Mus musculus: one gene and its partners. The protein of the gene in region 3 binds, or shares a complex with, the protein of the main gene of each other region. Links are inferred from orthologs where the notes say so. Each region holds a gene or a part of one and is shown on either strand. Other genes may lie near its edges.

Evidence for each region.
Region 1: Snrpe (region 3) and Lsm6 share a complex: the UniProt entries of both Homo sapiens proteins name them as parts of the U4/U6-U5 tri-snRNP complex. The link is inferred for Mus musculus from reciprocal best matches to the Homo sapiens genes SNRPE and LSM6.
Region 2: Snrpe (region 3) and Cwc15 share a complex: the UniProt entries of both Homo sapiens proteins name them as parts of the minor spliceosome. The link is inferred for Mus musculus from reciprocal best matches to the Homo sapiens genes SNRPE and CWC15.

Annotation. Positions count from the first base shown.
Region 1 is NC_000074.6:78,818,640-78,822,389, forward strand, and holds the start of Lsm6 (U6 snRNA-associated Sm-like protein LSm6), read right to left. Parts: upstream 2,514-3,750; 5' UTR 2,409-2,513; intron 1,447-2,408; 5' UTR 1,348-1,446; intron 1-1,347. UniProt on the Homo sapiens protein: Plays a role in pre-mRNA splicing as component of the U4/U6-U5 tri-snRNP complex that is involved in spliceosome assembly, and as component of the precatalytic spliceosome (spliceosome B complex).
Region 2 is NC_000075.6:14,506,983-14,510,632, reverse strand, and holds the end of Cwc15 (spliceosome-associated protein CWC15 homolog), read right to left. Parts: intron 2,783-3,650; coding exon 2,664-2,782; intron 434-2,663; coding exon 304-433; 3' UTR 13-303; downstream 1-12. UniProt on the Homo sapiens protein: Involved in pre-mRNA splicing as component of the spliceosome. Component of the PRP19-CDC5L complex that forms an integral part of the spliceosome and is required for activating pre-mRNA splicing.
Region 3 is NC_000067.6:133,607,548-133,611,297, forward strand, and holds the start of Snrpe (small nuclear ribonucleoprotein E), read right to left. Parts: upstream 2,734-3,750; 5' UTR 2,671-2,733; coding exon 2,617-2,670; intron 2,198-2,616; coding exon 2,171-2,197; intron 1,413-2,170; coding exon 1,350-1,412; intron 1-1,349. UniProt on the Homo sapiens protein: Plays a role in pre-mRNA splicing as a core component of the spliceosomal U1, U2, U4 and U5 small nuclear ribonucleoproteins (snRNPs), the building blocks of the spliceosome.

The DNA of each region.
Region 1 (3,750 bases), on a different chromosome or scaffold from region 3:
TTAAATACTAAAAGAAAGGAAAACAGAAATGCTTGGTGGTCAGAGCCAAGCCTAGGAAGAAGCCTGGTCACATACAGATTTCTGACACTTACTCAGTGTTTGCTTCTTACTGCATGTTTTTCTCGTTTGTCTTATGTAGTGGGGCGGGGCAGAAGCAGCTGCTCCAGCGTGCATATGATGTCAGAGGTCACCCTTGCGAGGTGTCCAGGTTTGGCCATGAGTGCCCTGACAATTGGGTTACTTAGGCTAACTCCTAAAAGCAAGCTGCTCTCAACCAGAGGTGACTTTTGTGCCTCACCCTGGGGACATTTGAAAATGTCTACAGTCTGTACTGTCACTACAGGAGAGTGGTAACTAGGATCTAGTTTACAGAGGTCAGGGATGTCCCTCAAGACTCTACAGTGTACAGCAGTGGTTCTCAACCTCCCTAATGTGTGAGCCCTTAACACAGTTCCTCATGGTATAGTGAGCCCAACCATAAGGTTAATTTTATTGCTACTGTTATGATTTGTAATGTAAATCTCTGATATGCACATGCAATTCCCGAGGAAGGGTCGCCAGACACCCCCAAAGGGGCTGTGACCTTGGGGTGGGAACTGCTGGCTCAGAGGACAGCACTCTACAACGAAGGACTGAGTGGTGGGAGTGGTTCAACACGTCAGCTGACAGAAATGCTGCCAGGGAGCCCTAGCCACCACCTCGTTCCCTCTCTCTCGGTTTTCTGGCTTAAACACCACGGGATTTTAGGAAAGGCGAGCCTTGGCGTGAGAACCAGATGCTGAGTAGGCAAGCCCCTCTGTGTCTGTGGGTTTAAAGTGTTTACGGATCCAGCCAACCTTGCCTCACCTGGTAAAATGAAGCTGTAATTACTTGTCCAGCGGTCTCTCTGCTACCCAGACACAGACTTTCCCCTTGCTGTACTCCCTAAGCAATACTCTACTGCAACCAGTGACATTAAATGGCACGTTGTGAGTAATCTAGAGATGATGTGAAGGGCACAGGAAGACTGCACAGTTTATATGTAAACACAGAGGAAACCTGAACGTCCATGCACTTTTCGGTACTGGGAGGGATAACAGTAGCACTTATCAGAAGTATCTGATCCCAACACGGGGAAGCTGGAAGCAATCGTCAAAGTCTTGAAAGGGTTGACCTTCAAAAAAATAAATAAATTTCTAGTGCTGAACACAAAAATGTAACTTTTCTATTTTCCAGTCCCTCAATCCAAAAGTAGAAAATAAGCCAGGGAGTTAAAAACAAAACAAAACTTTCTTTAAAGAAGTTCTATTATCTAGTAGGCCACCCTTCAGTGAGAGAAGAGCTGCTGCAGTCGTTAGGGGTACTCACTTGGGAGGCAGGAAACCTGAGTTCTAATCTCTGCTACTTAATTATCTGTGCAGCTTGCGTAACTCATCACCATTTCACCTGTCACGGCCCCAGGCTCATCTGCAAAATAAGGAAGTTAGGCTAGATGGGTACTGGCTGTCTCTTCCTGTTCCAGCATCTGATTAACATGTGCAGTCAGTCAGTCAGTCTGTCTCTCTGTCTGTCTCTGTCTGTCTGTCTGTCTGTCTGTCTCTCTATCTCTCTCTCTCTCTCTCTCTCTCTCTCTCTCTCTCTCTCACACACACACACACAGTCACAGCCTGCAAGTTCAAACTCCCAATAGTAATTCCAAAGTGAGGCTGTGCTTTGCTACTTTAGAACCACAGTAGGCCCTTTCACGGTTTTGAAGAGCCAAATAAATTACTAACACTTTAAGAAAAACCAGTCTCGCAATGTGCAAGAACCATCTATGCTAGTAATTGAAAATTTGAGGAATAGAAGTTAAGGCATCACGATATCGTTCGGGATGCGAAAATGAAGCAAAAAACTCACACCCAAAGACGTCAGCCTGGGAAACAGCTGAATAATTTATGAGATCCACACAATAAAACAGGGGGCCCAAACGAGATCAATGAATTTTAAAATCACAACTTGTCTCATTTTAATGTAAGTATAAAACTAAATACTGGTGTGTGGTTAAAAAACTTGGTGGTCTTAGCTGAAACAGAAACAGGCCCACACAAGAGAAAGGGAGTTGGTGTGCCGAGGCCGTCAGCAAGGACCATTTCCTCCGCTCGTCTGTATTTACTTTCCGTCGCGCAGGGCTCGCGGGTGGAGGAGGGCGCCGAAGTCGCGCGCCACCGTAACCCTGGGCGCTCACCCCAATCGGCGCGAAGCGCGCGCGCCACGGGAGCGCGCCCGGCACCGCGAGCCCGCGTGGCCCAGACCAGCGAGCATCTCCTGGGACGCAGGCCCGGCTCGAGCCGCTCCCCGCCAGCCCGGACCATCCGCGGCCTACGCCAGCCGCTCCCACCCGGAGTGCCTGCCCGCACCCATTCATTCCTCCCAGGCCGCGGGCTCACCTTGCAGCCGGATCCAGAACGCTCACAGGCCGGGCTTCCGCGGACGCGCGCGCCGAAAACCGAAACCGCCCCCGGCAGCGGCTTTCCCATCTCACCCAATCAGCGTCCTCCTTGCCTATGGCGACCCGCGGGGATCAAAAACAGTCAGAACGCGTTAGTGAGCTGGCTTCCAAGACCGGGTTTGTTTAATGGTACCGTCGGCACCCAGCCAGGGCTTGAAGTAAAGGTCCGATATTCTGATATTCTCTCTTTTGCCAGAAAATAGAATACGAAAGCAAAACAACCAACCAAGAGCTAGAAGTGATCTTGTGTGTGTGTGTTTACAGTAAAGAACCTTAAAATATTAAGAAACGGAAACTTACAGTTAAAACGATGGCTGTTGAGCACCCCGAAATAGCCTTAAATAATTTAAAACAAATACAAGTTAAAAGCCTCAAACCCTCAAACTAACTTCTGCATATAAATTAAATGTATGAAGAGATTGTTTCCATGGGAATGCTGAAACAAAAAAATAATTCAAGCAACTCTGAATTATAACGGCATCAATTAGAAAACGTTACAAATTAGTTTAATTGGAAACTGCATGCAGATACTATTTAAGTAGTGTATGGGAACTTGGTTAGGGATACTTCATGAATTCTTAATGCATGCTTTTTATTTATGGAAGAAAAAAAGTCACAGGAAGACAATTTCTTCTACCCCCACGATCTCTTTATATTTTAACTTATATTTTATATTTATATTTTAAATTTTAATTCTGTTTCTGTTGTTTAACATTCAACAAAGTTATAATACCTTCAAACAACAGCTACATAACCCTGATAAGTGTTACAGGATCTAAGATGCAGAATTGTTTTCTGAAACACAAAGTGGATTCCTCCTTTTCTACGTGCCTTTGATTGATATCCTGGACAGTGATCTACCTGCCTTTGGTTGATACCCCAGACAGTGAACAACTGGGTGGAATTTGGAAAAGAACAGGAACATCCTTCTGTCTGTCTGTAAAATTCCAGTTGATGTCAAGACCAAATAATTACAGACATTGATCAAACAGCATTTTAGGCTCTTGAAATATAAAATTAGGAACACAGGTAAAGTCACATTTAAATCAAAGAAGGAGCACGCTATGCCTTGTCCCTAAAATAAAAACTGCTTTATAGGTCAAATTGGGGGCTGAGGATTTAGCACAGTGGTAGCATATCTAGTGTGCATGAACATCTCTGGCACCACAGCGGTAGTGGCATAGTGGCGCTCACACCTGTAATCCTAGCACCCAGGCATGCGTGCAGGAAAATCAGAAATTCAAGATCATCCTCAGCTACAGAATGAGTTTGAGACCAGC
Region 2 (3,650 bases), on a different chromosome or scaffold from region 3:
AAAAGTAGTTTTCATTTTGAAAAGAAATTATGCAACTTTTTATAAGCTGTATAAATTGTAGCAAAAAGTTGGGGACAGTGGTTTATTTAGGTTAAAAATATTTATTACAAGCAGATTCCCCGTTTCCCATATTAAAAAGAAACTAAGGCCTGGTTAGATCCATTTCTAAACCCATTATCTAATAAAGTACTACACTAAGGGAAAGAGACTGAGAAAGTTAACACTGGGAAAGAACAGAAACCAAAAAAAAAAGTCAAATTGATCCTTAACAGTTTAGTTTTTAATTAAGCACATAAAACTATATTACTTAATATATTTCTCCATGAACTTCTTGTGAAATTCAGATCGCAGTGTATCATTTACAAATCGTTTGTCTTTCTTCTGGTCATCTATACCTTTTGCACAGTTCTTAAAAACGACATCATCATCCCATCTAAAGAGGAAAAACAAACAACAAATCTGTTATAGTTCATCAGGAGACAAGAACACAACAGACTATAAACCATCACAGATGCTCAACATGCTGTCACCAGACAGCAAAAGCAGCAGCATGCCTACTGTGTGGGGCTGTCACAGCAGGAGGGCATCCCCACTCAGAGCAGACACCACTTCTCCACTAGGAGCAAGTCAGTTACAAAGAAGACACACATAGATTGTGCTTAGGTAAAAGTGTGGTATTTTCAGATTTAAAACACAGAGGCAGGGCCACTTGTCCTGATCCAGACACCTTCAGACAGTAAGTGACCTGTTTACTGTGCTTTGTACAGTTTCATACATTCTCATCAGTTATATCTACCATGGCACACTTCATAATGCAAGGACGAACTACAGGAATGTAACAAGAAAGATTTATAGACCCATGGCTGCTGAAGTGTTCAGAGTAGAGCTCAGTTATATTTCAGAAAACATTAAACACACTCATCAGCAGGTGTTACGGGAAATACGTAGACCAGAGCTATGACCTTCTACATAAACATAAGCCCTTACATATAATAAAGACACTCAAAAACATGCATTAAACACAGCCCATGTAACATGCTTGCATGTGCTGGTGCATGACCACCAGGAGAAACTGCACAAGGGAAATGAGCAAAGCTATGCACACTTATGGAAACTATGTCAGTAAATTTGTCTTGATGCAGTACACACACTAAAAGCTGACCTGCTCAGTGTGACAGGGATACAAATGTTTTGTCTCATATGCAACATGTAATTGATAGCTTCTCTTCACTTCCTCGCTTGCTCCCAACACCCAAACTGCCCTGCCCCTCTGCAATGCTAAGATACAGTCCTCCCTTTCTGCACTTACATCACCATCCCTAGACCATCATCTCTCTCCTCTCCCAATACTCTGTGACTCTCTTGGCTGTCCTCTTCTCTGGCTGCTAAGTCTTAGCATAAGATTTTAAATTCAAATACTATGTATTATGCATTTACTATGCACTTATACTGGGCACTTCTCTAGTGCTGATACAATCTTTTGACTTCTCTCTGCCCACGCTGGCAACTCCCAGATGCATTATTTAATTTCTAGCTTAGACAAACTGCAGAGACACACAGGCTAGATTTACTTAAGAGATGTACAGAACACTCCAAACCTACAATGCCTCAAACCTGCTTCCTCTTTCACATTCAGCATAAGCCATACTCATCCTCATTCCTGCCTCGCAACTGCTCAGGTCAAATGAATAGAGACTGAGCTATGATAAATTGCTAGTTGTCAGCAACCATCTCCTTGACTGTACTATTGTCTTCAAGAATGTGGGTTAAAGTTTAGCTGCATAGGTCACTACAAGGGCTGTACTTTTCCTGTGATTGAGTAAAGAAGCCAATGGTTCTGGGATGAGAAAAGAGGCTGAAGACGGAGCTTTGTTCATGAAGGGTAGGTACTGAGTGAGTGAGCAGGAGAGTGGCAGGGCAGTGCTTCTTCATTGCCGTGTATGCAGAGATGAGGCAGTGGAGCTCCTCACACCCTCACACACACTACCCCTGCTCCTGTGAGGCATCCTCATCCGACATCGGTGTCCCTCTTCAGCTCTTTATTGTCCCCCTCTGCACACTGTACATGAGAGTTCCCTCTTGGGCCCCGACTCTAAGCGTAGCTTTGGTTAGTTAGCACTGGAAACCCGCACCTTCTCTCACCATCACTGTGCCTATAGTGCACAGGTTCCTACAGGACCACTCCCTTGAGACTCCTGAGTCTCAACTTTAGTTTCACTGTTTGGTGACCTCTTACAAGGAACAGGATTTTAAGGAAGCCTATATCTCTCCACCTTGTGACTTGGATGTATATCCATGAAGACTTACAACTGTATGATCTGTGTGTATCTTATAATATCAAACATGAATACCACCATACCAAGTCCCCTAAGTCCTTCTAGAATTGAATTGTGAGGGGTGGTCTTGGGGACCCCAACACTAACATCTCACGTAAAGCTTGGTAGCTACAGTCACTCTGGCTCTCTTATTTAGACAATCACTAAGCAGAGACTTGGCTATTATAAGTATGCATTAAAATGAAGTCTCCCACCTCTTTTCATCTTCCGTATTCTAAAATCTGATTGGGAAGGTTATCAACAGAAAGTGGGATCCTAGAAACTTTATAGAACACACGGAACACTAACCATGGTCACACACGTACACCAACCCATGACTTTTCGTACCTTCTTTTAACCTTGAAGTTGGCCTGAGGCTGGGACGGGCCAGTGAGGTTTAGGAGAGGGTTTCCACTCAGAATGTTTTCCATGCGAATTCTCTCTTCCTCTGCTTTTTGTTCTTGTTCCTGTCAATGACAGAGGAAGACACAAAGTTACTCTCTCCAGGTCAGCTGACCAATATTAGCCCACAATGAACTCATCTGGTACAGGGAGAAAAGATACTTTTCCTTTTTTTCTGTTTAATGACAGGGTCTCCAGCAACCCAAGCTGGCACGGGACTCGCTAGGTAGCAGAGGATGACCTTGACCTTCTGAGTGCATGGTAGGTGTGCAGGCCCCCATTTGCAGTGATAGGGATGGGGTGGTGCAAGGCCTGCTACAAAGCACTTTACCACTGACCCACTCCTCTTTTTGATTCTTAGTAAATGCCAGGAAAATCTTACTAATAAAACTTAAGCACGTTGCCATTTTTATCCCATCCTTGCCAATAGTCATTGGCCTCTCTAAACTGTGAGAAGCTGAGATGCTAGCAAGGTTGTTGTCTCACTTTTTAAGGGGCTACAGACAACATAATTCAATTTTGAGTTACAAACCATGTTAAGTTTCCATCTCTAGGATGAATTAGTTATTAACTAGGGAGTAATTCCTAAGACAAGACAAACTGTCATGTAAAAGATGGTCACATTCTAATAATATGTACTTCAATTAATTTATATAAAATATCGTTTGTTCTTATGCTTTATTGTTAGCGATCTATACCTTTCTTATATACTTTCTTCACTGTTACAATACTGTCTATATTTTTAAAAAGTATTTCTGTATATATTTAGCGTGTGTGCATGCATGCATATGGGTACCACAGTACAACGGAGGTCAGGGGACAACCTGCAGAAATCCATTCTCTCATCATGTAGGTTCCCTGCTAGGCCATCTTGCCCATTCTCCATTTGTTTTAAAGACACAAATTTTCAATGCTAGTTTGGTTTGGCCTTCA
Region 3 (3,750 bases):
ACAGTGGCCTGCAGCCGCACCTAGTGCTGGCCAACTAGTCTTGTTAAATCCATGAGTTCCAGGCTCAAAAAGCAGAGAGCAATAAAAGATACCTCTAGCACATACATCCACACATATGAGTATGTACAAAGCAACCCCACTCACTCCCTTGATGCAAAAAAGAAAAAAAAAAAGTGAGGCTGAGCACGTCTGTAAATCTCAGGAGGCTGAGGCAGGATGGGAAGTTCAAGGCCTTTACTGGGCTACATAGCAATTTCTTGCCTCAAAATAACAATGCCAGAGCTGGACAGTTCAGTAGTTAAGAAGACTGGCTTTTCTTCCAGAGGACCCAGATTCAATTCCCAGCACCCACATGGCATCTCACAACTGTTGATAACTCCAGTCCCAGGGGATCTGGTGCCCTCACACAAATAACAGTAGGCAGAACACCATTGCACATAAAAATAAATAAATCTTTAAAAAAATTTTTTTTCCATTTTCATGGCTATTAATCTAAACATTGAAGAGGCTCAGACAAGAGGATTTCCATGTGTAAGTCTCTCTTAAAAGACTCTGCCTCACACAAAGGAAAAACAGAGACGGGAGAGGTGGTGGAGTTACAAATCCTTCCTTGCTGCTCTTGCAAAGGACCCAGGTTTGGTTCCCAGCACCTACATGGAAGCTCACAATCACCCATCTTCAGGTGAGCCAACAACTTCTGGCCTGTTTGGGCATTAAACACACACAGGCAAAACACTCAGACAAATAAATCTAAAATAACAACAAAAACTTATTGCCATGGTAGCTGTGTGGTAGAGCAGGTACTTTGATCCCCAACACCATCACGATAGAAGCCTAACAAACCATAAGTCTCACCCCCACCAGCTCTATTCTGGCATGATCTAATCCAGAATGCAAGTCCTTTATCACTCCCCGCCCCCCTCTCATTTTGTTTTTGTTCCCTCTCCTCACAAACGAAGCTCTTCTTAAAAGTCTTAACTCTCCCTTCCTTTTTTTTTTTTTTTTTGGTTTTTCAAGACAGGGTTTCTCTGTGTAGCTCTGGCTGTCCTGGAACTCACTCTGTAGACCAGCCTGGCCTCAAACTCAGAAATCCGCCTGCCTCTGCCTCCCGAGTGCTGGGACTAAAGGCGTGCGCCACCACCGCCTAACCTCTCCCTTCCCTTCCTCTTAAGAGAAGTATTATCTAACCCTATTAACCAGAGCAAGGAGAAAAGGCTAAATAAATAACTCCAGCTCTGAAGAGCTTTCTTTGGGTTGGGTCCTTGACGCCTTGTATATTGTTCTTACTGGCCATCTTCTGAGATGTCTTTTTTAATAACAACTTGAGGAAAAATAGCCTGGGTACTCACAATAATACAACCTTCTATCCGCATATTCACTTGTTCATACAGCCACACCTGAATTCGAGATCTCTGAAATAAAAATAATGACTTTAGAAATGTAAACAAATCCCACTCCATTACTTTGTTTCCACAATAAACGACTTATCTTAAAAATTCCAATAAATATAAGCCAAAAACTAGAACTAGTTAGTCTTCATCTAAGAGCTAGCAACACTGGTTAACCTGCTGAGAAACATTTAATAAGTGCTCGGGCAGGCCTGTCCAAACTAATTTTCCTACTCTGAAAATTTATTTTTGCTTCTGGCATGAATACACTTACAGTTAGAACTGTTCACAGGATAGTACAAAGCGAATCTGGCGATTAAAAATTACAATGGCTTAAAACGATTTTTCATCTGTGTTGTAACACTCTAAAATAAACATCGCTAAAATCTCCTCAAAGAAGAGCATTTGCCACTCGCTTCTCTGTATATAACGCCCCCACTCCCCCAAACCCCGCTTTGGTGTCTTTTCTCCATTCTAAGTCCAACTATGGAAAAAGCACTATGCAACTGTCACTGCTAAATCCGATGACAAATCGTTCTTACAGAGTAATTTTAATAGTAAATATAATTACATTGTTCTTACAGAATAATGGTAACTGTGTGCATCCTTAAGTCAGCACGGACATATTAATAATTAGCGCTTTCCCTGTGACCTTATCCTCAACTCTGGTTCTCCCCCCCCCCCAATTTTTTAGTCTAAGCACTAGAAACAGAGAATTTGTTACAAAGAGTCAAACAGGCCCAACTTTCATTTCAGTAACAGTAAGGAAACAACTTACGTACATTTTGCAAGTATCTGAAGATAAGGTTCTGCAGCACGGCGATCAAGGAAAAGAACTACACAAACAGCGGAGCCTCCGCTCCCAACCGCGCCGGACTCTCCAGCGCCCCAAGGTCCGGCCGGGCTACATCCGCAAGCACAAACGACCGCCGGGAGCATGCGCTCCCTCCCCACCGCCCTCGTTTCTCCAACCTTCCCGATGGCCCACATCCTCCTCTCCTCCTCGGTATCCCCCGCTTTCATCGCGGATCGCCAGCCTGGCCGGGTCCACCCGGAGCCCGCCTTCCGCCTCCCGCCTCCCGCCGCCCTTCAACTCCGCGCGCTTTCCTGCCTCCCCGTTCGCCCCAGGGCCTCACGGGAAGCGGCCCGCAGCGGGCTGCCCGGCTCCCCGCCCACGCTCACGGCGCCTACGGCCCCCAAAGCCCCGAGTTCACGCAGCGTAGGATACGATGGGCTGCACCATCACCTTCTGCACCTTTTGGCCCTGGCCGCGGTACGCCATGGTGGAAGTCACAAAGACCACACGAGTAGGAAGGCCGCCTCGGAAAGCGACTTCCGGAAGCAAGACCCGGAAACGGAAGTGCAGTGGTCGTCGGCGACGCGGGCCGGTCCTGGGGAACGCCTCTCTAGGCCAGGAGCCGCTTTTTCTCTATGCTGATAGACTCCGCCGGCGGCCTTCCGACTCAACCGCTCTTTGAAGTCGAGGTCGGTCCTACAGCGCCACCTGGAGGTAGGCTGAGAGGCTTGCCTCTGCCTAGGTGCTCTTCTGAGAGCTGCTCTGGAATTTAGAGGCGGCATCTTGTCCAGAACCATCTGCAGACTCCCCTTATTTGTTTTGGGCCCCAGAGCTAGTCTAGATGGTCATGCCCGAAGCAGTGGTGGAGTTGTGGCTTGTTCAATAACAGATTCAACCCTCATCACCTTTATGCAGAGTTAACTGTTGCAGTGGCAACTGAAGATGGCAATCTAACTAGCTTGGAGGTATTGAAATCGGCTTGTTGGACTCAGATCTCTCTCAGTTGTGTGACCGGTGATAATTAAGTCATTAGGCCTCAGCATCTCCGTCCCGCAAGGGGACAGGAGGTGAAGATTCAGGGAGGTAGTAGTGCACAGGTGCTCCTAGAACACATCTGTAATCTCAGCTTGTGGAAGGCGCAAGGTGAGTATGACCTTAAGCTAAGTAGTACGTTCCAGATCTAAGCTACATGAGGCCTTGTTTCAAAACAAAACAACCTACATGGTATACAACCTGATAAACTTAAGGTAAGTTAGAAATGTAAGTTAAAAAAAAATGCATTTAATGCAGATACCTTGGGCCCAGGGGAGATGATTCGGTAGGTGGGACATGAGGTCTGTCAACCAGCACCTACACAAAATTACATGCCTGTAATTCCAGAGACAGGAAGGAGGGTGCCTGGGCTGGATGGCCAACTAGTCTAACTTAATCGCCAAGTCCTAGGTTCAATGAGAGACCCTGTCTCAGAAGGTAGGGTGAAGAGTGACTCAGAAGGACACTTGATGACATCCTTTGGCCTCCACATGCACACAGAAAATTGTTGAAAATGTATATGCCTAGTCTACT